Linked DNA regions of Oryctolagus cuniculus. The protein of the gene in region 1 purifies or fractionates together with the protein of each later gene. This does not show direct contact. Links are inferred from orthologs where the notes say so. Each region holds a gene or a part of one and is shown in the gene's direction. Other genes may lie near its edges.

Region 1 (4,819 bases):
CACTGTCAATCCAGCTCTCTGCTGTGGCCTAGGAAAGTAGTGGAAGATGGCTAAAGCCCTTGGGCCCCTCACCCATGTGAGAGACCTGGAAGAAGCTCCTGGCTCCTGGCTTTGGATCTGCGTGGTTGCGACCGTTGCGGTCATCTTGGGAGTGGACCAGTGTGTGGAAGACTTACTTTATTTCTCTCTCTCTCTCTCTCTCTCCCCCTCAGCCTCTCTGTAACTCTGCCTTTCAAATAAATAAATAAATCTTAAAAAAAAAAAAAAAAAAGAAGCACTGGCAGGGATTTAGTCTCTCTCTCCTTTCAAAACAGTATGAACACACTACCATGTCCCTAAATGACGTTTTCAATTAGGAATGAAATCAATCTTCTGGAAGCGAAGAAGAGTTGGAAGAAATGGAATTTGTATAATCAGTAGTGTTTCAATAGCTTTAAATTAGTTTGAAAGTTTATTTTTAGATTTAAAAAAATCCCCGCCTTCCAACGAACACTTCAAAATCATCAAAGACTGTGCCGCTGCACTTTATACTTGCTAGGAAGGCAGTTTTTAACAAACGACTTTTTGTAAGTTAAAGTTGCAACATCAATCATACATGAGACTGGTGTTGGGGAAAGAAATTCTAAACTGCAGCCAAAAAAAATGCAAATAAAAAAGAAAACCAGCCCTTCCCATCCACTCGGCCTGCAAAGCCTCCCAGGTGGGGTATGGGTCCCCGACAGAAGGTCTCCAAAGGTGCCAGTTTTCAAAGTGCGTATGCCTTAGGTCAAGGCATCCTTCCTCGACATTTGTCAAAAAATTCCCAAGAATTCTGTTTGTCCCGGAGCTGGACAGACACAGGCCTTCTCCCCGCTTTCCCTCTGGGAAGCGAAGGTGGCTGCCTACGGACGCTGCTCCGGACCGGTCCTCCAGGGTCGCACCAGTCCAGCAGCGCGGGACGCACGTGGTGCCTGCAATCGGCTTCAGTTCCCCCCACTACCACCAACCACCGCCGGCCGCCCTGACTAGCGGAGAGCTGCCAGAACCGGAGCTGCACTGGAGCGGACGACCAGTCAAGTAAACTTAGATGGGGACGGGCGAGGGGTCGCGGCCACGCGAGCAGCTCCCTGAGTGACAGGTCGGGCGTGCTGGCCCCATGCAGGCAGGCAGCCGGACACCACCGAACGCCGGGGCTGCGCAACCCCACGTGGGCCCTAGCTTGCTGAAGGCGCCGTCACCCTCCTCCCCACTTCGGGCAGCGCTCACCTCAGCGCTCGCGGCGCCTCCACCTTCAGTTTTTTGGGCTTTGGCTCTTCCTCAGCAGCTGCCATCTTCGCGCTCCCACCCTACTTGGGCTCCACCGACCGCCCCACCCCCTCGGCCCTCTGAGCCCGCCCCCTCCACGCATCACCGCCTTTTTTCTCCAAACCCCGCCCTCCGAAACACCGCCCATTCCATGACTCTCTCACCCACCACCATTGGCTCTACCCCTGTATTGCCCCGCCCCCTCATGGCCCCACCCACTCCACTGTAGGGGACCCGAGACTGAGTTAGGCTGCAGATGAGCGCCTGAGTCCAAACGGTGCGGAATCCCGCCCTTTTCCTAGATCCTAGATGAACTAGCAGACTTAAATCCCAAACATTAAGAAATTTCTTTTCTCTCACCTAACGCCTATCTTGCTATTTAATCTTTCTAATTCGGGAGACCGAGTTTGAGTCTTTGAAGCTGTTAGTCAGGCGATCTTCTGGGCACTCCAACTGCGGGGTCCTCACGGCTTTCTCTGCTGCCTCAGCTTTGGTCCGGAGAGGACCCGGCGCCGAATCAGACTGACTGGCCTGGGTGTCCGGGTGAGTGCGGAGACTGGGGAGTCTGCAGACAGGGGACAGCTGGGTAGTAGGCTGAATGGCTGAGGCTCTGGGCCCCAGGAGCGTCTCTGTTGCTGCGACCTGGAGCCGCACCTCTCTCCGGCTCCCGGCCTTCCGGGCTTTCCTGCCAGCTGGGCCGGAAGAGAAAGATGCACCTGCAGGGCAGTGTTCCCAGGCACAAGGTCCTGCTTGTAGGCGTCCTTCTCCGTGCTCCCGGACGGGAAAAGGGTCTTGTTGCCTCAGGGAGCTGGAGTTCTGACTATTCGAATTAGCCCCAGGGTTCCTTTTTGGATGACAAAACTCCTAATGGCCCTGAGCGGACATCCTGTTAGAGGGTGGAGAATACTAGGAGGATGTTGCCGTTGTTCCGAAGAAAGGTGACTGTGGAAAAGTGGGCAATGTGGCATGTTGGCTTTAGATTCGTTTGCACCTGAATTTACAGCCTATTTGATGAAGAAGGTGATGTCAGTATAAAATTGGGAGCCATCACAAAAGGAGAAGGGGTTGTGTGGAGTTGTGGGATTTATCGAATTGGAAAGAATGTTTTAGGTGGAGATTAGCAGAGATTAATTTTGTGTGCGGAGGGGCGACCTCTGAGAACTAAACTGGGAATTAAGTTTCAGGGTGAGAAACAAAACCATGACATTCCGTAGAGTATGATAAGAAGCCTTTGTGGTGTGTTCAGGAAGGTTATCAGACATGAAATGCTGCAAGAGCCCAAGCAGGAAGCTGAAATCGAAGAGTAAGTAGTAAAGTGTTGAAGGCTAGAGAATCTTTGGGCCGTTTGAGAGAGCTGCTTTAATAATGCAGTGTAGACTAATCCTTCATCATTTGGGGCATGAAGCCCGATTACTCAGAGTGGTGAGATGAAAAGTTTGAATTTGATTGTTTCGAATACAAGACATGTGTTTGGGAGTAGAAAGCAAATAATCAGTGTGCTAGATTAAGGGTTCTAGAAAGAGAAGAGAAAATGCCGGATGAGAAGGAAGAGGATGATATGGTACCAGTGGGTGAATTAATTTTGGAAAGAAAAGGAACTTTTTTTTTACAGATTTATTTATTTATTTGAAAGTCAAAGTTACACAGACAGATAGAGAAAGGTCTTCCATCTGTTGGTTCACTCCCCAATTGGCCACAACTGCCAGAACCGATCCGAAGCCAGGAGCTTCCTCCAAGTCTCCCACGCGGGTGCAGGGTCCCAAGGACCTGGGCCATCTTCTGCTTTCCCAGGCCATAGCAGAGAGCTGGATGGGAAGTGGAGCAGCCAGGACTCGAATCGGCGCCCATATGGGATGCCGGCACTGCCGGCAGCGGCTTTATCTACTGGCTACACCACAGTGCCAGCCCCAGACGTTTTCAAGTCAGACCATAGGAAAAGTGGAGCAAAGGAAGAATTACCTGAAACTTACACATCATCAGTAGGGGAGCTCTCTACAATAAGGATCGTTTTTCTTATCAAGCCTTTCTTATAAACCTTGTGATTTTTACAGTGTTTCTGACTTTTCAACAATATACTAGATATTTTTAAGTAGCTCTGTTTTATCTCAATTCATGAGTAGCAAATGGTATTTTTTTTAATTCTCTATTTTTTCTTTTCTTTAAGATTTATTTATTTATCTATTTGAAAGTCAGAGTTACATAGAAAGAGGAGAGGCAGAGAGAGGCCCTCAATCCGCTGGTTCACTCTCCAATTGGCCACAATTGTCAAGAGCTGCGCCGATCTGAAGCCAGGAGCCAGGTGCTTCCTCTGGGTCTCCCACACGGGTGCAGGGCCCAAGCAATCGGGCCATCTTCTGTTGCTTTCCCAGGCCACAGCAGAGAGCTGGATCAGAAGTGGAAAAGCTGGGACTCAAACCGGTGCCCATATGGGATGCCGGCACTGCAGGCGGTGGCTTTACCTGCTATATCACAGCACTGGCCCCGTAAATGGTATTTTTGGAAAAGAGGCTTTCCATTGCATTATGCAGAGAAAACAGAAGTCATCATTTTCTTGAAACCAAATACAAACTTTCTTCTCTTCTATTTGAAGAGTTAAAAGGGTCCCTTCTCTTTAAATCACATTGACTCCCAATGCCATCCTCTCCCGTGTCCTCAAGGCGTTTCTTTCATTTATTCCCTCACTCCTGCGTCAGCTTTTCCCTCTCTGTCCATACCATCCTTTAAACCTTGAGAAATATTCTTCTTACCTTTCAGGATCTACTCCATTTTTTTTCCTGTCTTCCTTTTCTTCTGAAAGATTTATGTATTTACTTGAAAGGCAGAGAGAGAATGCTAGCTTCCATCTACTGATTCACTCCCCCAAATGACCACGATGACCATGGCTGCGCCAGGCCAAAGCCACGAGGCTGCTTCTGGATAGCAGAAGCCCAAGTACTTCACCATCTTTTTCTGCTTTCCTAGGCACATTAGCAGGGAACTGGATTGGAAATGGAGCAGGCTGGACTCGAACTGGTGCTCATACAGGTTGTCAGCATTGCAGGTGGCAGCTTAACCCACTGCACCACGGTGACAGCCCTTTATTTTCCTGTTTTTCAATTCCCTTTACAGCTGTATCTTTAGAATTTATTCATCTCTCTTTTTTCCTATTTGCTATTTATTTCTCAGGACACTGCAATGCCTTTATTCCAGTTTTCCACTGAACTACCACTAAAACCCCTTTTACCAAGATCACCAGTGTCCTCTATGTATTAAAAATGCATCTCCATGTGAGAAAAAATTGTGTCTTGTGAGACAAAGAACATTATATTCCTCTTATTCTCATTCAACAAATAGTTTTGAATACATTTTGTATACTAGACACTTGCAGATATAAGGAGGAACAAGATAGAGTTCCTGCAATTACAGCATAGATAAGTTTATGTACTAATGGATGATAAACAAAGTATTCTGAGGTATCAGATTTTTCTGGGTTTGTTAATTAACTCAGTCATTCCACATTTTATTCATAAATTATAACATCACATTCTGCATATGT
Region 2 (4,894 bases), on another chromosome or scaffold:
GCTGTTCCACTTCCCATCCAGCTCTCTGCTATGGCCTGGGAAAACAGTGGAAGATGGCCCAAGTCCTTAGGCCCCTGCACCCACGTGGGAGACCCGGAAGAAGCTCTTTGCTCCTGGTTTCAGATTGGCCCAGCTCTGGTCTTTATGGTCATTTTTGGAGTGAACCAGCAGATGGAAGACCTCTCTGTCTTTCCTTCTCTGTCTGTAATGCTACCTCTCAAATAAATAAAATCTTAAAAAAAGAAAGAAAGAAAAAAAGAAAGGCAGAATCGGAGAAGAAAGTCAGAGAAAGAGAGGGAAGTCTTCTATCCATTCCCCAAATGACCACAATGGCAGTAGCTGGGCCTATCCGAAGCCATGAGCCAGAAGCTTCTTCTGGATCTTCCACAAGGGTACAGGGGCCCAAGGACTTGGGCCATCTTCTACTGCTTTCCCAGGCCATAGCAGAGAGCTGGATGGGAAGTGGAACAGACAGGACTCGAACTCACGCCCATATGGGATGCTGACACTGCAGGGGGTGGCTTTACTTGCTACGCCACAGCGTCGGCCCCACAACTATTTTCTATGTTTAAAAATTTGTCTTACAAAAATTAGAATCTCTCTAATTGTATATGTTCTATTTGTGATTTTTTATTGCTCCTACAATAAATATATTCTCTTTTAAGATGTTTGTTTTCCATTTTGATTATTATTTGGTTTTATACTAAACTCTGCCTATAACTTAAGGGTAGGTATGAAATGATGTAACTAATTTGCCTATTTCCAAAGTGCTAACCAGTTATCCTAAAACTTTTTTTAAAAGATTTATTTATTAATTTATTTGAAAGGCAGAGTTCCAGAGAGAAAGGGAGAGACAGAGATCTTCCATCTGCTGGTTCACTCCACAGATGGCAACAACAGCCAGGGCTGGACTAGGCTAAAACCAGGAGCCTGGATCTTCTTCTGGGTCTCCCATGGGGGTGGCAAGAGCCCAAGCACCTGGGCCATCCTCTGCTGCTTTTCCCAGGCCATTAGCAGAGAGCTAGATCAGAAGTAGAGCAGCCGGGACTGGAACCGGCGCCCTATGGGATGCCTGCACTGTAGGCAGTGGCTTTACCTGCTACACCACAGCGTCGACCCGGGGGCAGGGGGTGGGTGTCTTGAGGCACCTTTTCACACACCCTCAGCCATTTTATTACAAAATCTAGAACTGGAATCTCCGGGCCTAATTTACATATTTAAAGTGTGTGTGTGTGTGTGTGTGTGTGTTTTAAATACATATTGCCAAACAGCCCTGGAGAGAGCTCTGCAGCTCCATTCGCTGTGTACGGACGGGCTGCACTTCACATACACCAGCTCACGAACAGAAAAAAGCAAGAACTTTCCCAACTTGGGACCGCAGTGCCTTCCACGTGGAACTGCATTAAAGACCCCAGAATCCGCCCATTCACCAGCTACCCCGGCAGCAGCCCTCCTACACCTGGAGACGACCCTAATTCACAGCAGCATTGTGCGCAACACTGAGAAAGAAGCACGAATTAACCGTTCCTTAGCCGAGGAATGGCCACGCCAACTGGGGTCTACACTCAGCGGATCGTCCCGGGAAAGGACTGCGGATTCGACGCGGACGGTGCCGTTTCTGCCTCCGGATCTGCTTTTCCGACGTGCTCGGCTTTTCGCCCCGGCCAGGATTCTGGATATGCAGCGGTCCGTGTGGACGAGGGGCTCAGGATCCGGATTCGCGTCCCATCCGGTCTCGCTCCTTGCTGTCCACATCTGCCCCATCCCCGGCGAGCTCTCCGCCCTCTGCAGGGCCTCAGGGGGCCCCGGACCCTTTAGTGCTCGGACTGCGGGGCGCCGGAGCCTAGTTTCCGGGCGAGGCTCTTAGCCGCGTACCAACCGGAAGTGCCCGTGTTATGACGGGAAGAGGTGCTTTCTGGGAACAGCAGGTGCTGAGGGGGTTGCATGGTCCGCAAAGATGATTCAGGCAATTTTGGTTTTCAACAACCACGGAAAGCCACGGCTGGTCCGCTTCTACCAGCGTTTCGTGAGTGCGGCCCGGCTTCGCCACGCCCCTTCCTGGCGTCTGCGCCCTCTTCCCTCCCCCTTTGGCCTCTCTGCGCGCCGCTTGTTGACCACTTCGGGTTCCTGCGCCCCGCATGACCCTCACGCTCTTCAGCTCCTTGCGTCCTTTGGGCAGGGGCCGACGTCCGGCCCGCAGGCCACCGCCTCACCGCCCTGTTGTCCTCTGTACCCTTTCGGGACCCCGGCGCTTCCCGGGGTGGAGCCGCGGTGGGGAGTGTGCCTCGCCGAGAATATGAGTGCTGGAGCCCCTTGGTTTCTACTTTCTGGTTGTTGGCCGCAGTTGCATGAGGAGGGAAAAGCATTGATCTGCTTTAAATTCTTGTTTTAGCCGGGAGGACTGAGAAAGTCCTTTTCTTGCAATGGTCTTGGCTTCAGTGTTGGCTTGGGACCGCCCGGGCGCTTCTCTGCACTGTAGGGTTGAAGAAAGCCAGCTTTAGGGCGGGAAGTTGGTGGGAAATGACGCTTGCTGCCGCGGGACATCTCAATAAATGATCATGTGAATTTGGATTTTCAAAAAAAAAAAAAAAAAAAAAACAACATTTCACGAGAAAAACACAAACACAGCTCACTTTTCCTGCTTTTGGCAAGCTAATAAACCTCTTCCGGACCTGTACTCCAGTCTCTGTCCAGTACAAATGAAAAACAACCCTAGCCTTTTCGTAGGATTTCTAAAGCGAGATTTTTTCAGACGACAGCGCGCTAAAAATGACAAGCATTCCGCCTCACTGTTAAACCTGTATTTGCGTTTGTGGATCCTCGCCCGCCACCCCAGTGTTTTTCTGACAGTTGCTGAGATCCCTCACCCACCGCACGGTTCACTTACTTGAAGTGTGCATGCGGGGACGCGGCCTCGAGGTGCTGCGTGGGCTGCCCACCTGCCGTGGTGGATGCCAGACTTCCGGTCTGGGCTCCGCTCCTCAGTCCAGCTTCTGCGGACCTGAGGAGGCGGCAGGTGATGGCTCAGCTCACCGCGTCCCTGCCACCCCCGGGGCTGGATTGGTTTCAGTCTGGGTGCCAAGGACATTTGGGGAGTTATTGCTGTTTCTTTCCGTCTCTCTGCCTCTCAAATACCTTTAAAAATACACTGTAGCTCCAAGTGGTTTGTAGTGTTCACAAAGGTGTGCAACCATCACCACAACTTTGCTTAGAAGCCCTGCCCATTAGCAGCAAATACTGCAGGCCTGGGCAACCACTTAGCTCCCTTCTGCCTAAATTTGCCTATCCTGGACAGTCCATTTAAGTGGAATCAGACAATATGTGGTCTTTTGTGTCTATCTTCTTTTACTTAATGTTCTTCCATGTTATAGCGTGTATCTGTTCTTCATTACTTTGTGTTGCCTAATAATACTCCATTGTATGTATATGTCACATTTTAAAAACACGTATTTATTTGGAAGAGTAGAGAGAGGGAAAGACAGAAAGAGGCCCTCCGTCCTCTGGTATATTCCCCAAACGATCACCACAGCCATAGCCGGCTGGGCTGAAGCCAGGGGCTCCACTCTGGTCTCCCACCTGGGGGCAGGGGCTGAAGCACCTGGTTCTGCTTCCCCCAGGTGCCAGCAGGGATTTGAACCGGCGCTCACGGGATGCGGTGTCACAGGTGGCTGCTTAACCTGCTGTGCCACAGTGCTGGCCCTGGAAGAAAATGTTAAATCTTTTCTTTCTTTTTTTATTTAAGAGGCAGAAGGAGCTGATTCACTGTCCAGATGCCCCAGATAGCCCCTGGCTGGCAGTGCAGCCCAGATCCAGGAACTCAGCTTCAGGTCTCCCACGTGAGTGGACCCAGTCACTTGGGCCACCACTGCGGCCACCCCTGCCCGACCTGCATCTGCAGGAAGCTGGAGCAGGAGCAGAGTTGGGCCTTGAACCTGGGACTCAGCTGTCCGACCTGGCAGCTTAGCTTCCAGGCCAGACACCTGCCCTGGGTCCCCCACCTTTTGGTGTCCATTCATCAGTTGGTGTTTCCTGCTTTGGCTCTGGTGATAATGCTGGGTGGACAGTGAGGTTTTTGTGTGAACAGAATTTCTCTCATTCCTCTTGGGTGTGTACCCAGGAGTAGCATTGCTGGGCCGTATGCTAATTCTATGGTGAATGTTTTGAGGAACTGCCAGACTGTTTTCCACGTGACTGCACGATGTTTCATTTCTGTCAGCTTTGTATAAGCCTTCAATTTCTCCACCTCATAATAAACATTGTCTATCTTTTTGAGTAAAGGCATTTTAGTGAGTGCAGTGTATCTTTTTTTTTTTTTTAAGATGTATTTATTTATTTGAAAGAGGTAGGAGAGACAGAGAGAGATCTTCCATCTGCTGTTTGCTCCCCAGATGGGAGCCAGGCTGAAGCCAGAGATTCCTCCAGGTCTCCCACTTGAGTCAGGGGCTCAAGCACTTGGGCTATCTTCTGCTTTTGGGAGGTGGATCGGAAGTGGAGCAGCCAGGACTCGAACTGGTGCCCATATGGGATACCGGCATCACTACAGCACAGTGCTGGCCCAGTGCGGTGTGTCTTACCCTGGTTTTGATTTCTAGTTCCATGAATATCTTGTCTATGTGCTTGTTGGCTATTTGTAAATCTTTGACTCTCATAGGGTTTTTATAAGAAACTCACGAGTGAAGATTGCAGAAGATTAAAGATAAAAGGAGTTGATAAAATAACTGGAACATGCAAGCAACTGGTAGTTAACCTTTTTATTGAACTAGAAATTAGGTAGTCTGACCGTTTGACATCATTTCCCCTCTACCACTTCCCCTTTAGAGTTAGAGAATAAGCTTGTAGTTCAGAAGATGTTCCTGCCCGTTTTTTTTTTAAAGATTTATTTATTATTTATTTT
Region 3 (5,047 bases), on another chromosome or scaffold:
GCAACCTGGTGCTGCCTCCAGGAGTGGCAAGATGGGAGATGGTTGGGGAAGGGGGGACCGCAGCAGGGGGAGGGGAGGAGAAAGAAGCAGCTGGAACCTAATGAGAAGATAACACTGGCTGGGGGGGAGGAGGCCCCCATTGCTGGGGGAGGGTGCAGTTCTCAGGGGTGGCTTGGGACAGCATGTTTGAGTACCTGATGTCCAGGCCTCTGGAGTCACTCAGCACAGAGAAGCAGGTGTGGAGCCCGGGATGCAGCACTGTGGTCAGTGGAAGGACCCAACCACTCTTTCCAGCAGCATGTGCAAATGCCCTGTGGCCTAATCCCTTTCTCTTCCCAGACCGTGACTGGGGCAGTCAGCACCATTAAGTTCTTCCTCTCTGAGGCTTACCTGGGTCAGCACTTTGAGATTGTGGAGCTGAGCGACAGGGAGCCGGAGCCTGGAGACCTCTTCCTGTTCAGGATGATGTCCCCCTTGCGAGACTTTTGGTGCGGGGCCCACGTGGGTGTATACTGTGGCCGTGGAGAGATCATCCACTTTGAGGGTGAGCACCTCCAACTGAAACACACGGGCCCACGAGTGCAGGGAGGGGCGGCCGGGCCATGCACACCCCAGCAGCGGGCCGGCCGTTCCGGGGTGAATACCGTGGTCCTGGGCTGTGGGCGTGGGTCTCTGAAGATGCCTGCTTGAGCAGCCAGAGTGTGGGGCTCAGGGGGCCTCAGGGGGCCTCAGGTGGCGGCAGTGCGGGTGCAGGGCCACGGGGCACAGCGCCTAAACCTGGCTCTGATGTGTCGCTGGCTGGCAAAACCCACAGGCAGGAGCTCCGGCGGCTTCGGGTTGGACTCCGTAGTGCGCTCCTCCGAAGGCGTGGTGTGCAAACAGGGCCAGCGCCCGCTGCTGCGCTCCCGCCTGCTCTGGCGTGTGCTAAGGCGGCGCGGCGGCGTGGACCGCGCGCTGTTGGAGCGCCGCGTCCGCGAGGCCATGGACGCCGACCCGCCTGTCTATCACCCCACGCGCAGCAACTGCGTGCACTTTGCTCTGAGCCTGATCCACCCGGAAGGGGACCCCGGCAGCTTGGTAAGCGCGGATTCCATGGGGGGGGGGGGTCCTCTTAAATCCAGACCCTCTGCCCTCCACCGGAGCCGCGTGCCTCCGAACTCCAGATGAACTTTATTCGGGCAGGCCCCAAGCTCACAGATCCCGGCCACATTCTCATTCCCCCAACAGACTCTTCCTACTGAGCCAAGCTCCGCCTTCCCAGGCCCTGTCCATTTCCACCTGGCCTCTGAGCATTCGCGGTCCCTGTCCACAGAGGAGCTGTTAATTTTATTACAATTAGACCAGTCCTTATGAACTCTAACACGACCCAAGCCCAGCCCAGAGGTCCCTGGCCACCCAACTTGATGCCTCAAACGCTGGCCCATGGAGAGCCTACTCCTCCTGCCAGCCGAGTTTGTTTTCTTCTTTCTGAGTCTGGCCGGCAGTCCTACCTTCCTCTCCCCCGCCCCACCCCGACATCACACGACCCAGGAGTCCTGGTGGTCGCACCAGCCCCTAACCCAGCCTTTTCCCTTCCTTCCTAGGTGTCTATGGACATGGACCTAACCGTGGACTAGGCGTGACCTTGGGCCCTCCTTGATGGTGTGGGGACCTCAGAAGGGGTCATTAAAGTATTTTTCCAAAGCTTCATTACGGTTTCGCTGTCTTCTGTAACCCATAACCCACCTCTCTGCCTGGAAGTCCCCCCCACCCCGCCAGCCTCTCCATAGACGGCACCACCTCCTGTCCCCCTCCCCCTTTGGGTGGGTGAGCATCCTCTCCTGTGTCTGTGGTGAGCGGAGCCGCTAGGCCAGGCGGTCGCAGGACGGGGCAGGCGTTGCGCATCCCCGGGACGGCCGTCCCCTTCTGCGCCCACCAGCCTCACCCACCCCAAGCCTGGCAGGTGCGCGAGGTCCCTTTAAAGGGCAGGAACCATCCGGGAGAGGGGATTTCCGTGGGATTGGGGCGGGGCCGGCGCGGCTGCCCTCTCCGCCCCCTTGCGGACGCGCCCTCGGCTCGCCGACGCCGGTGCCTTTAAGAACCTCGGCGCGCGGCCCTGATTGATGCGCCCGCGCACAGCAGCAGCCCCGCCGCCAACACCACCACCCGCAGCTTCTGCAGAGCGCGGGCCGCGCACCGACCTCGTCCGCCCAGCGCGGCCTCCCGGCCTCGGCCCCGGCGCGGACCCCGGCCCCGCAGCCTCCTCCTGCCCAGCGAAGCCCTACCCCCGGCCTCCCCATGTCGGCCGCCCCCGCCTACAGCGAAGACAAGGGCGGCTCCGCCGGCCCCGGGGAGCCCGAATACGGCCACGACCCGGCGAGCGGCGGCATCTTCTCCTCCGACTACAAGCGGTGAGCGAGCGCGCGGAGGGCCGGGCCTGGGCGAGGCGCGCGGGCACCATGGACAGCGCCCGGGCCCTCCCGCCCGCCTGGCCCCGCACAGGCCCCGCCCCGGCCCCGGCCCGGGCCCTGGCCCCGCCGGAAGGCCGCCCAGCCCCTTCCCTGCAGCCCGGGCCCGATGGGCGCTCCCCGTCCGGAGGGGCAGACCCGGAGTGGGGGCTGGGCCAGCCTGCTTCCTCTCTGGGGTTCCTCCTGTTTGCAGCCGGCTTGCGAGTTTCCCACGTTTTTCCGCGCTAGGAGAGCGGGCTCCAGATTTTCTTTTAGGTGGGGGATGGGGATCTAGGCCGGCAAACAGGAGTTTGGACCTGGGGCCTCGCCCCGCGTGCAGACACAGGCCGGGCCCTTTCTCTGCCCCCTGGTCCCCACCTCCCACCCGACGCTGTCCTCCTGCCCCCCGACACTGCCCCTCTGTTTCAATCCCTTCCTCCAATCCGCTTTTGATTATTTTGTTTATCCGTACATTCTGCGATCAGCAATTATTAAAGGCCCGCCTTATGCTGGCCGGTGCTGACCACCGTGCAGCTGTGAGCGTGAGACGCTAACTGCTCTCAGGTTGCTATGGAGAGGCGCACAGATGAGAACCAGACAGTGACAGTTCGGTGCAGTGGGGGCACTGGGAGTGGGGCGAGGGGCTTCCCAGGCAGAGCAAAGCACTTGCACGAGAATGGGGAAGGAAGGAGAGTGGGGACCCCCGGCTTTGCGGGCACAGGTGCAGTGTGGCCAGAATCACCGTGCGAGCCACTGGAGTGACCAGAAATGAGGCTGGGAATGGCTGCTGGAGGGTTCCAAGCTGGTGCCATCACCAGATGGGTGTTTTGGAAGGATTACAGGCTGGACTGTGGAGAAGGGATGGCAGGTGAGACGAGTGAGGGGGCGTGACGGTGACAGGCAGAGCAGCAGTGGCCTAGGCTCCCCAGAGGGGCTGCGGATCTGAGGGCTATTGAGGAGGGGGGAGCTACAGACCTGGTGATTGTTGGATATGGGGCGTGGGGGTGGGAGAGAGGGGCTGGGAGAAGGTAAGGGAGACGCCCAGGTTACCAGCTCCTGAGCAGGATAGATGGGGCTGCTCTGTAGTGTAATCGGAGAGAGACGCATTGCAAGCATACTGAGCCCAGCTTGGGACAGGCTGAGATTGTAGCCCTCCGAGGGCCATGCAAGGCTAGTGGGTAGATGGGTATTGGGATTTGGATTCCATGAGAGCAGTCAGGGGATTGTTAATATACATGTGTCCGTTAAAGCTGCAGATGGACGTGAGTTCGGACAGAACTCAGAAAATAACATTAGGGGTGACCAGAGAACCTAAGAAGAAGTGAAGCAACAGGCAGGAAGATAACAAAGTGTGATTTCGGGAAGAAGGGGAATGGTCAGTAGTATCAGTGTCCACCAAGGTCAAGTCCAACAGGGAAGGAGATTTGAGACCATTGGATGACAATGGTCATCCAGTCCTCATCTCCTGCCCTAGGAGACCAGACAGGAACTAGATTTTTTTTTTCCCCCAACATTCTATCATGATCGACTTTAACCATGCAGAAAAGGTGAACAAATGCAACGGATGCACATGTGTCATCCATGTAGGTTTGGCCACTGTTGGAACGGCACCGTCTCTGCTTATCCATATCTGCATTTGGCTATGTTCGTGACCCAGCATCTAAACCCAGGCTGGAGTGAATAAAAGGGCAAGTGGGAGGTGAATAAGTAAAACAGTGAGTGGGAACGTGGCTTTTAAGAAGCTTGATTGCAAAGGAGAGAGAGAGAACTGCTCAAGGGAACTCCAGTTCTGAGGTTTGTTTGTCTCTTTTGCTGTTATTTTTGTGTTTGGTATGAGGCTGGGAGGCGTCTACAGCAAGCTGAATGTGGCTGGGTAGGAGACAGGAGTGTGGGAGGCGGGGAGGCAGGGGGCATAGAGGAAGCCCGGATCTCCGAGTGCCGGGAGGAGCAGCTCTGCCCAGACGGAGGACAAGCGGGCACAGGTGCGCACCGTGAGCTGCGGGGGATTTTACCTGCAGCCTTTCATTTTTGGGGAGAGGCAGGTAGTGGAGAGCAAGACTGGGAGTGGGAACTTTTCGGGTCGAGGGGCTCAGTACTCGGTACTCATGGCAAGTGAAGTCAACCAGCGCTGGCTGGCAGGTGGGGGCTGGCTGGCAGGCGGGGCGTGGAGGGCTAAGGAGGTGACCAAAGGATGGCCCCAGGGTGGTGGGGTGGAGATAGAGATAAAAGGCTGAGAGGAAGGAAGAAACCAAGGGCTGGCTCTGCCAAGGCAAGGGAGGAGCCCGAGGCTTGGGGTCAGAGATGGGGAGGGGCTGTGGAAGGCTCCCCGGGAAGCTGAGGTCTGGGGGTGGTCATGGGGGGGGTCCCTGGCTTCTGTTTGTACAACACCCTGCCCCTCTGCCTGGAGTCTGGGATGTGGGGTGTAGACTTAGCCCCCTTTTTGTCACTGTAACTAAAATATTCACTTCTTGGGAAAGGAGAGGTCTAGTTCGGCTTATGGAGTGGAGGCTACGGTGCAGCAGCAGGTAGCCCTGTAGTCCGGCGTCTCTCATGGGCGCGGAGAGACGGTCACACCGTGAGCCAAGAAGCAGAGAGGGGAAACTCCTAGGCCGAACTTGAAC
Region 4 (4,974 bases), on another chromosome or scaffold:
CAGGAAGCCGCAGGCCCTGCACCTGCTGCTCCCGGCCTGGGAGGACACCTGGGCGGGTGGGGTGCTGCTCAGAGCGGAGGGCACTCCCAGGACGCAGCCGGCGTAGCCAAGCCCTGTCCCCGGGGGCGGCACAGGGCCTGTTGGCACTTGAGGACCCGTATGCCAGGGGCGGGCCTCTGCCTCCTCCTTCAGCCCCTTCCCAAGTGACAGGGTGGCCAAGCTGACCACAGCCACCAGACGCTTCACCGGAGCGCCTTGTCCTCAGCCTCAGCCAAGTGCTGCAGGGCGGGACTTCGTCCCCAGCCGTGGCGCCCTCGGCTGGCTCGGCTCGCCCTCCGGGAGCCCCCTCCCTGCCTTCTTGGCTCAGTCCTGCCTTCTCTCCCCGGGCTGCCAGGACATCGCGGGCCGGTTCCTGTCTCAGAACAACACCGAGGAGAACCTGGGGCTGCAGATGCAGGACTGCGAGGGGCGGCGGGCGCAGCTGGAGGCCCTGATGAAGAAGCTGGAACTGGAGGAGGCCCTGCTCAAGTTCCACCAGACCCCCAGCTCCGTCAGGTGCGCGGGGGCTCCCGCAGCCCTGCAGGGGAGCTGGGCGCCGCCCGGCCCGGCCCTCAGGTGCCCCCACCGTTCTCAGCTTCAACTCCATCGAGAAGAGGCTGACAGACACGCTGCGGGCGGAGGAGGACCGGCTGCGGCTGGCTCGCAAGAGCGTGGCCAAGAGCCAGAAGCTGCTGCTGACCATCCAGACCGGCATCGACAACCTCTACATCCGGCTCATCGGCGTCGCCCTGCCGGCCGCACAGGTGCCCGGCGGGTGGGGGCCGCTTGCCAGGGCGAGGCAGAGGCCAGCCCAAGGCCCCCTCCCTGCACAGGTGCACAGCGCGGGTGGGGGCCGCTCGCTGGGGGGAGGCAGAGGCCAGCCCAAGGCCCCCTCCCTGCACAGGTGCACAGCGCGGGTGGGGGCCGCTCGCCGGGGGGAGGCAGAGGCCAGCCCAAGGCCCCCTCCCAGCAGTGGGGCCCAGGCCGGGTGGAGGGGTGGGATGGGGGCCCCGAGGTGAGGCCCAGGCCAGCCCAAGCCCTCCCCCCGCCACACAGGAGGAAGCAGCACCCCCCGACACCCTGGACGTGTGCTCCAAGCTGGCCTTCTGCGAGCGGAAGCTCACGTACCTAGCTGACAAAGTGCAGGCGCTGTCCAGGACTGAAGAGGTAACCGGGGGCGGGCGGGCCCCCCGGGCAGCCCCGGTGGCCGCAGAGCTGAGGGGGGGCTGTGCCTGCAGGTGGACACGAAGGTGAGGGAGGCGCTGGAGTCCTCGACCCTCAAGGAGAAGCGCAACACCCGGATCAGCTTTGAGGACCTGGAGGATATGATAGGTGCGCGGGGGGCCTGGGCTGGGGGCGGGGCGCGTGCCCCTGTCCCACCGGCACATCCTGGTCAACCTGGTCATCCCCGTGGGGCTGCAGGAACCCAGAGGGCCTTTAAGTGATGGGGTGACCGGGCGGCGGCGCAGGGCAGCCACGGCCTCGGGGACAAGTCACGGCCCAGGGGCGGCAGCGCGGAGAGGCGGCCGCGAGTCGGAGGGTGCGGGGGACAGCGGCGGGCGCGCAGGGACCGGGCTGCCAGCCGCGCCGCGCCCCGCAGACACCTTCCAGTTCGCGGACATGGACCACAGCTACGTCCCGTCGCGGGCCGACATCAAGAAGCAGGCGCAGGGGCTGATCGAAGCGAAGTTCAAGTCGGCCAAGAAGAAGAAGAAGTAGCCCCGCCCGCCCCAGCCCGCGCTTTCGTACACGAATAAACATTTTTCCAGCATTGCCTAGGCGCGCGGCCCTCGGGGTCTCCAGGGACAGGGACTGGGCGGGGCTCGGGGGCGGGGCGGGGGCGGGGCGGGGGCGTGTCCCGGGTAGCCCGGCCCGCGCGTGCGCCGTCCGCCCCGCGCCCGTGGCCCTCGCGGCGCGCCGTAGCCGAGCGGCGCCAAGATGGCGGCGCTGGCGGGCGGAGAGCGGCCGCGCTGGGGGCCTCGGGGGCCAGCGCGGAGCCGCCGCAGCTGAGGACCGGCAGCCGCCTCAGGCAGGCTCGGCCTGCGGGAGGGCGCGCCGGCTCCGGCCTCGGGAAGGGTCTGGGCCGCCGGGACATGGTGCGCGCCGCGCCGCGCCGCAGCTGAGCTCCCGGGCCTCGCAGGCTCGGACGCGCCGCGCGAAGATGTTCTCCGCTCTCAAGAAGCTCGTGGGGTCGGAGCAGGCCCCTGGCCGGGACAAGCACATCCCCGCCGGGCTGCAGTCCATGAACCAGGCGCTGCAGAGGCGCTTCGCCAAGGGGGTGCAGTACAACAGTGAGTGCGCGGGCCGGCGGGGGGCGGCGGGGGGCGGGGGTCCCTGCGGGCGGCGGCCGGGGCGGGGTGGGCGGCGGGGGGCGGGGGTCCCTGCGGGCGGCGGCCGGGGCGGGGTGGGCGGCCGGGGGCCGCAGGTCGCCGCCGCCGCCAGCGCGCGCGACGGCGACCCGGGCTGCGCGGCGCTGCCCGCAGAACCTGCCCCGGCAGCTGCGGCGCCCTGTTGGCCCAGGGGACCTGCGGGGGACCCCGCCGGGGGGCTTGGCCCGCGCGCGCAGCAGGGCCGGTGGGCGCTGGAAGCCGCCGGCCTGGGGTCTCGGGTCGTCCGTGCGCCTGGAGCTCAGCGTGGAGCCGGGGTGCGAGCTGCGCCACACTTCTCGCCGCCTTCTTCTTTCTTTATTTTGGTGAGGACGTGGCCTGGAGGGCGGTGCGGGCGTTTAGGTTGGGCCCCGCGAGTCCGCGCGGGAGCTTACAGGTGTCAGCGGGGACCTCCGTCGGCCCCGCGTGCGGTCGGCGCGGACGCGCGCGCGCGCCCTTGCTTGGCTGCGGTCCCCAGGCCTTGCCTGACACCGAATCCCAGCGCCGTGCAGGGAGGCCTGCAACTGGACACCTGCGGCCCGGAGGCCCCTGGGCTGGCGGGGCGGCGCTCACCGCTCACCTGCCCCGAGCCTTCCCCGGAGCGACCCTGCGCCCTCCGTAGGGGAGCTGCGGGCTGGGCAGAGCTGAGCCTCCTCCGGGTCCCGAGGGTGAGGGTGGCCGGGCCCAGCCCCCCCGGGCAGAGGAGGACTTAGCGCAGCTCCTTAAAGGTTTCGTTATTTATTTCAGGGACAGAGTTACAGAGGGAGAGAGGGAGAGAGGGAGAGGGAAGGAGGGAGGGGGAGGGGGAGAGGGGGAGGGAGAGGGAGGGGTCTCCCACCCGCTGGTTCACTCCCCAGATGGTTGTAACGGCCAGGGCTGGGCCAAGCCGAAGTCAGCCTGGAGCTCCATCCGGGTCTCCCACGCGGGTGCAGGGCCCAAGGACTCGGGCATCGTCCACTGCTCTCCCAGGCCACAGCAGGAGCTGGATCGGAAGTGGAGCAGCCGGACTGGAACCAGCGCCTATGTGGGATGCGGGCACTGCAGGCGGCAGCTTTAACCCGCTACGCCCCGGCGCCGGCCCCAGGCTCTCAATAGTGTCGCAGGCAGGAGGATACAGCAGGGAGGCCCGCAGGCAGGTCAGGTTAGGGGCGTGGTCTGAGGGGACTGTGGTCTGAGGGGTTCCGTGGTCTGAGGGGACTGTGGTCTGAGGGGTTCCGTGGTCTGGGGGACGTGGTCTGAGGGGTTCCGTGGTCTGGGGGACGTGGTCTGGGGGGTTCCGTGGTCTGGGGGACGTCGTCGGGGGGATGTGGTCTGAGGGGACGTGGTCTGAGGGGTTCCGTGGTCTGAGGGGACTGTGGTCTGGGGGACGTGGTCTGAGGGGACTGTGGTCTGGGGGACGTGGTCTGAGGGGTTCCGTGGTCTGGGGGACGTGGTCTGAGGGGTTCCGTGGTCTGGGGGACGTCGTCGGGGGGATGTGGTCTGAGGGGACGTGGTCTGAGGGGTTCCGTGGTCTGAGGGGACGTGGTCTGAGGGGTTCCGTGGTCTGAGGGGTTCCGTGGTCTGAGGGGACGTGGTCTGGGGGACGTGGTCTGAGGGGTTCTGTGGTCTGAGGGGACTGTGGTCTGGGGGACGTGGTCTGGAGGACGTGCCTTTAGTGGCGGCCCTTTTTAGTTAGGGTCACTGTTCCCACGTGCTTGCGAGGAGGCGGCGGGCAGCTCGGCCGGAGGACAAGGCGTGGGTGGAGCGAGTCCGCTGAGCAGAGGGGTCTGGGGCCAGGACCACAGGGGAGTGGGGAGTGGGAGAGTAGGGGAGTGGGGAGTGGGTTCCGGCCCCAGAGGGGGGCTGGGCTGGGGCCTCCAGGCCTGGTGGGGAGCAGGGGAGCGAGGCGTGGGCTCGCTGGGTGCCGAGGACAGGCAGTGCTGGACGCTGGACGTGGCCCCGGCGCGAGGCGCGGGCACTGGGGTAGGCGTGGGCTTTTCGTGGTGTGAGATACAAGGACATGATCGCACGGTTGCAGGCAAGGTGGGACTGGGGCAGCCGAGGGTCTCCGCCAGGTGGGACTGGGGCGGCCGAGGGTCTCCGCCAGGTGGGACTGGGGCGGCCGAGGGTCTCCGCCAGGTGGGACTGGGGCGGCCGAGGGTCTCCGCCAGGTGGGACTGGGGCGGCCGAGGGTCTCCGCCAGGTGGGACTGGGGCGGCCGAGGGTCTCCGCCAGGTGGGACTGGGGCGGCCGAGGGTCTCCGCCAGGTGGGACTGGGGCGGCCGAGGGTCTCCGCCAGGTGGGACTGGGGCGGCCGAGGGTCTCCGCCAGGTGGGACTGGCGCGGCCGAGGGTCTCCGCCAGGTGGGACTGGGGCGGCCGAGGGTCTCCGCCAGGTGGGACTGGCGCGGCCGAGGGTCTCCGCCAGGTGGGACTGGGGCGGCCGAGGGTCTCCGCCAGGTGGGACTGGGGCGGCCGAGGGTCTCCGCCAGGTGGGACTGGGGCGGCCGAGGGTCTCCGCCAGGTGGGACTGGGGCGGCCGAGGGTCTCCGCCAGGTGGGACTGGGGCGGCCGAGGGTCTCCGCCAGGTG

What was found.
Region 2: the proteins of AP3M1 (region 1) and AP3S2 purify together in Homo sapiens (co-immunoprecipitation; 3 studies listed by BioGRID and IntAct, counting the BioPlex papers as one, with this or other methods). This does not show direct contact. The link is inferred for Oryctolagus cuniculus from reciprocal best matches to the Homo sapiens genes AP3M1 and AP3S2.
Region 3: the proteins of AP3M1 (region 1) and AP3B2 purify together in Homo sapiens (co-immunoprecipitation; 3 studies listed by BioGRID and IntAct, counting the BioPlex papers as one, with this or other methods). This does not show direct contact. The link is inferred for Oryctolagus cuniculus from reciprocal best matches to the Homo sapiens genes AP3M1 and AP3B2.
Region 4: the proteins of AP3M1 (region 1) and RABL6 purify together in Homo sapiens (co-immunoprecipitation; 3 studies listed by BioGRID and IntAct, counting the BioPlex papers as one, with this or other methods). This does not show direct contact. The link is inferred for Oryctolagus cuniculus from reciprocal best matches to the Homo sapiens genes AP3M1 and RABL6.

What each region holds. Positions count from the first base shown.
Region 1 is NC_091446.1:65,204,308-65,209,126, reverse strand, and holds the start of AP3M1 (AP-3 complex subunit mu-1), read left to right. Parts: upstream 1-1,501; 5' UTR 1,502-1,827; intron 1,828-4,819. Other genes in the region: ADK (adenosine kinase), read right to left, coding at 1,246-1,310. UniProt on the Homo sapiens protein: Part of the AP-3 complex, an adaptor-related complex which is not clathrin-associated. The complex is associated with the Golgi region as well as more peripheral structures.
Region 2 is NC_091443.1:99,932,825-99,937,718, reverse strand, and holds the start of AP3S2 (AP-3 complex subunit sigma-2), read left to right. Parts: upstream 1-1,867; 5' UTR 1,868-1,895; coding exon of another isoform or gene 1,896-1,928; 5' UTR 1,929-1,957; coding exon 1,958-2,026; intron 2,027-4,894. UniProt on the Homo sapiens protein: Part of the AP-3 complex, an adaptor-related complex which is not clathrin-associated. The complex is associated with the Golgi region as well as more peripheral structures.
Region 3 is NC_091443.1:101,580,924-101,585,970, reverse strand, and holds the start of AP3B2 (AP-3 complex subunit beta-2), read left to right. Parts: upstream 1-2,020; 5' UTR 2,021-2,277; coding exon 2,278-2,390; intron 2,391-5,047. Other genes in the region: uncharacterized protein, read left to right, coding at 340-544, 815-1,077, 1,584-1,616.
Region 4 is NC_091432.1:237,241,128-237,246,101, forward strand, and holds the start of RABL6 (rab-like protein 6), read left to right. Parts: upstream 1-1,947; 5' UTR 1,948-2,200; coding exon 2,201-2,330; intron 2,331-4,974. Other genes in the region: CCDC183 (coiled-coil domain-containing protein 183), read left to right, coding at 395-943, 1,096-1,206, 1,278-1,371, 1,640-1,758. UniProt on the Homo sapiens protein: May enhance cellular proliferation. May reduce growth inhibitory activity of CDKN2A.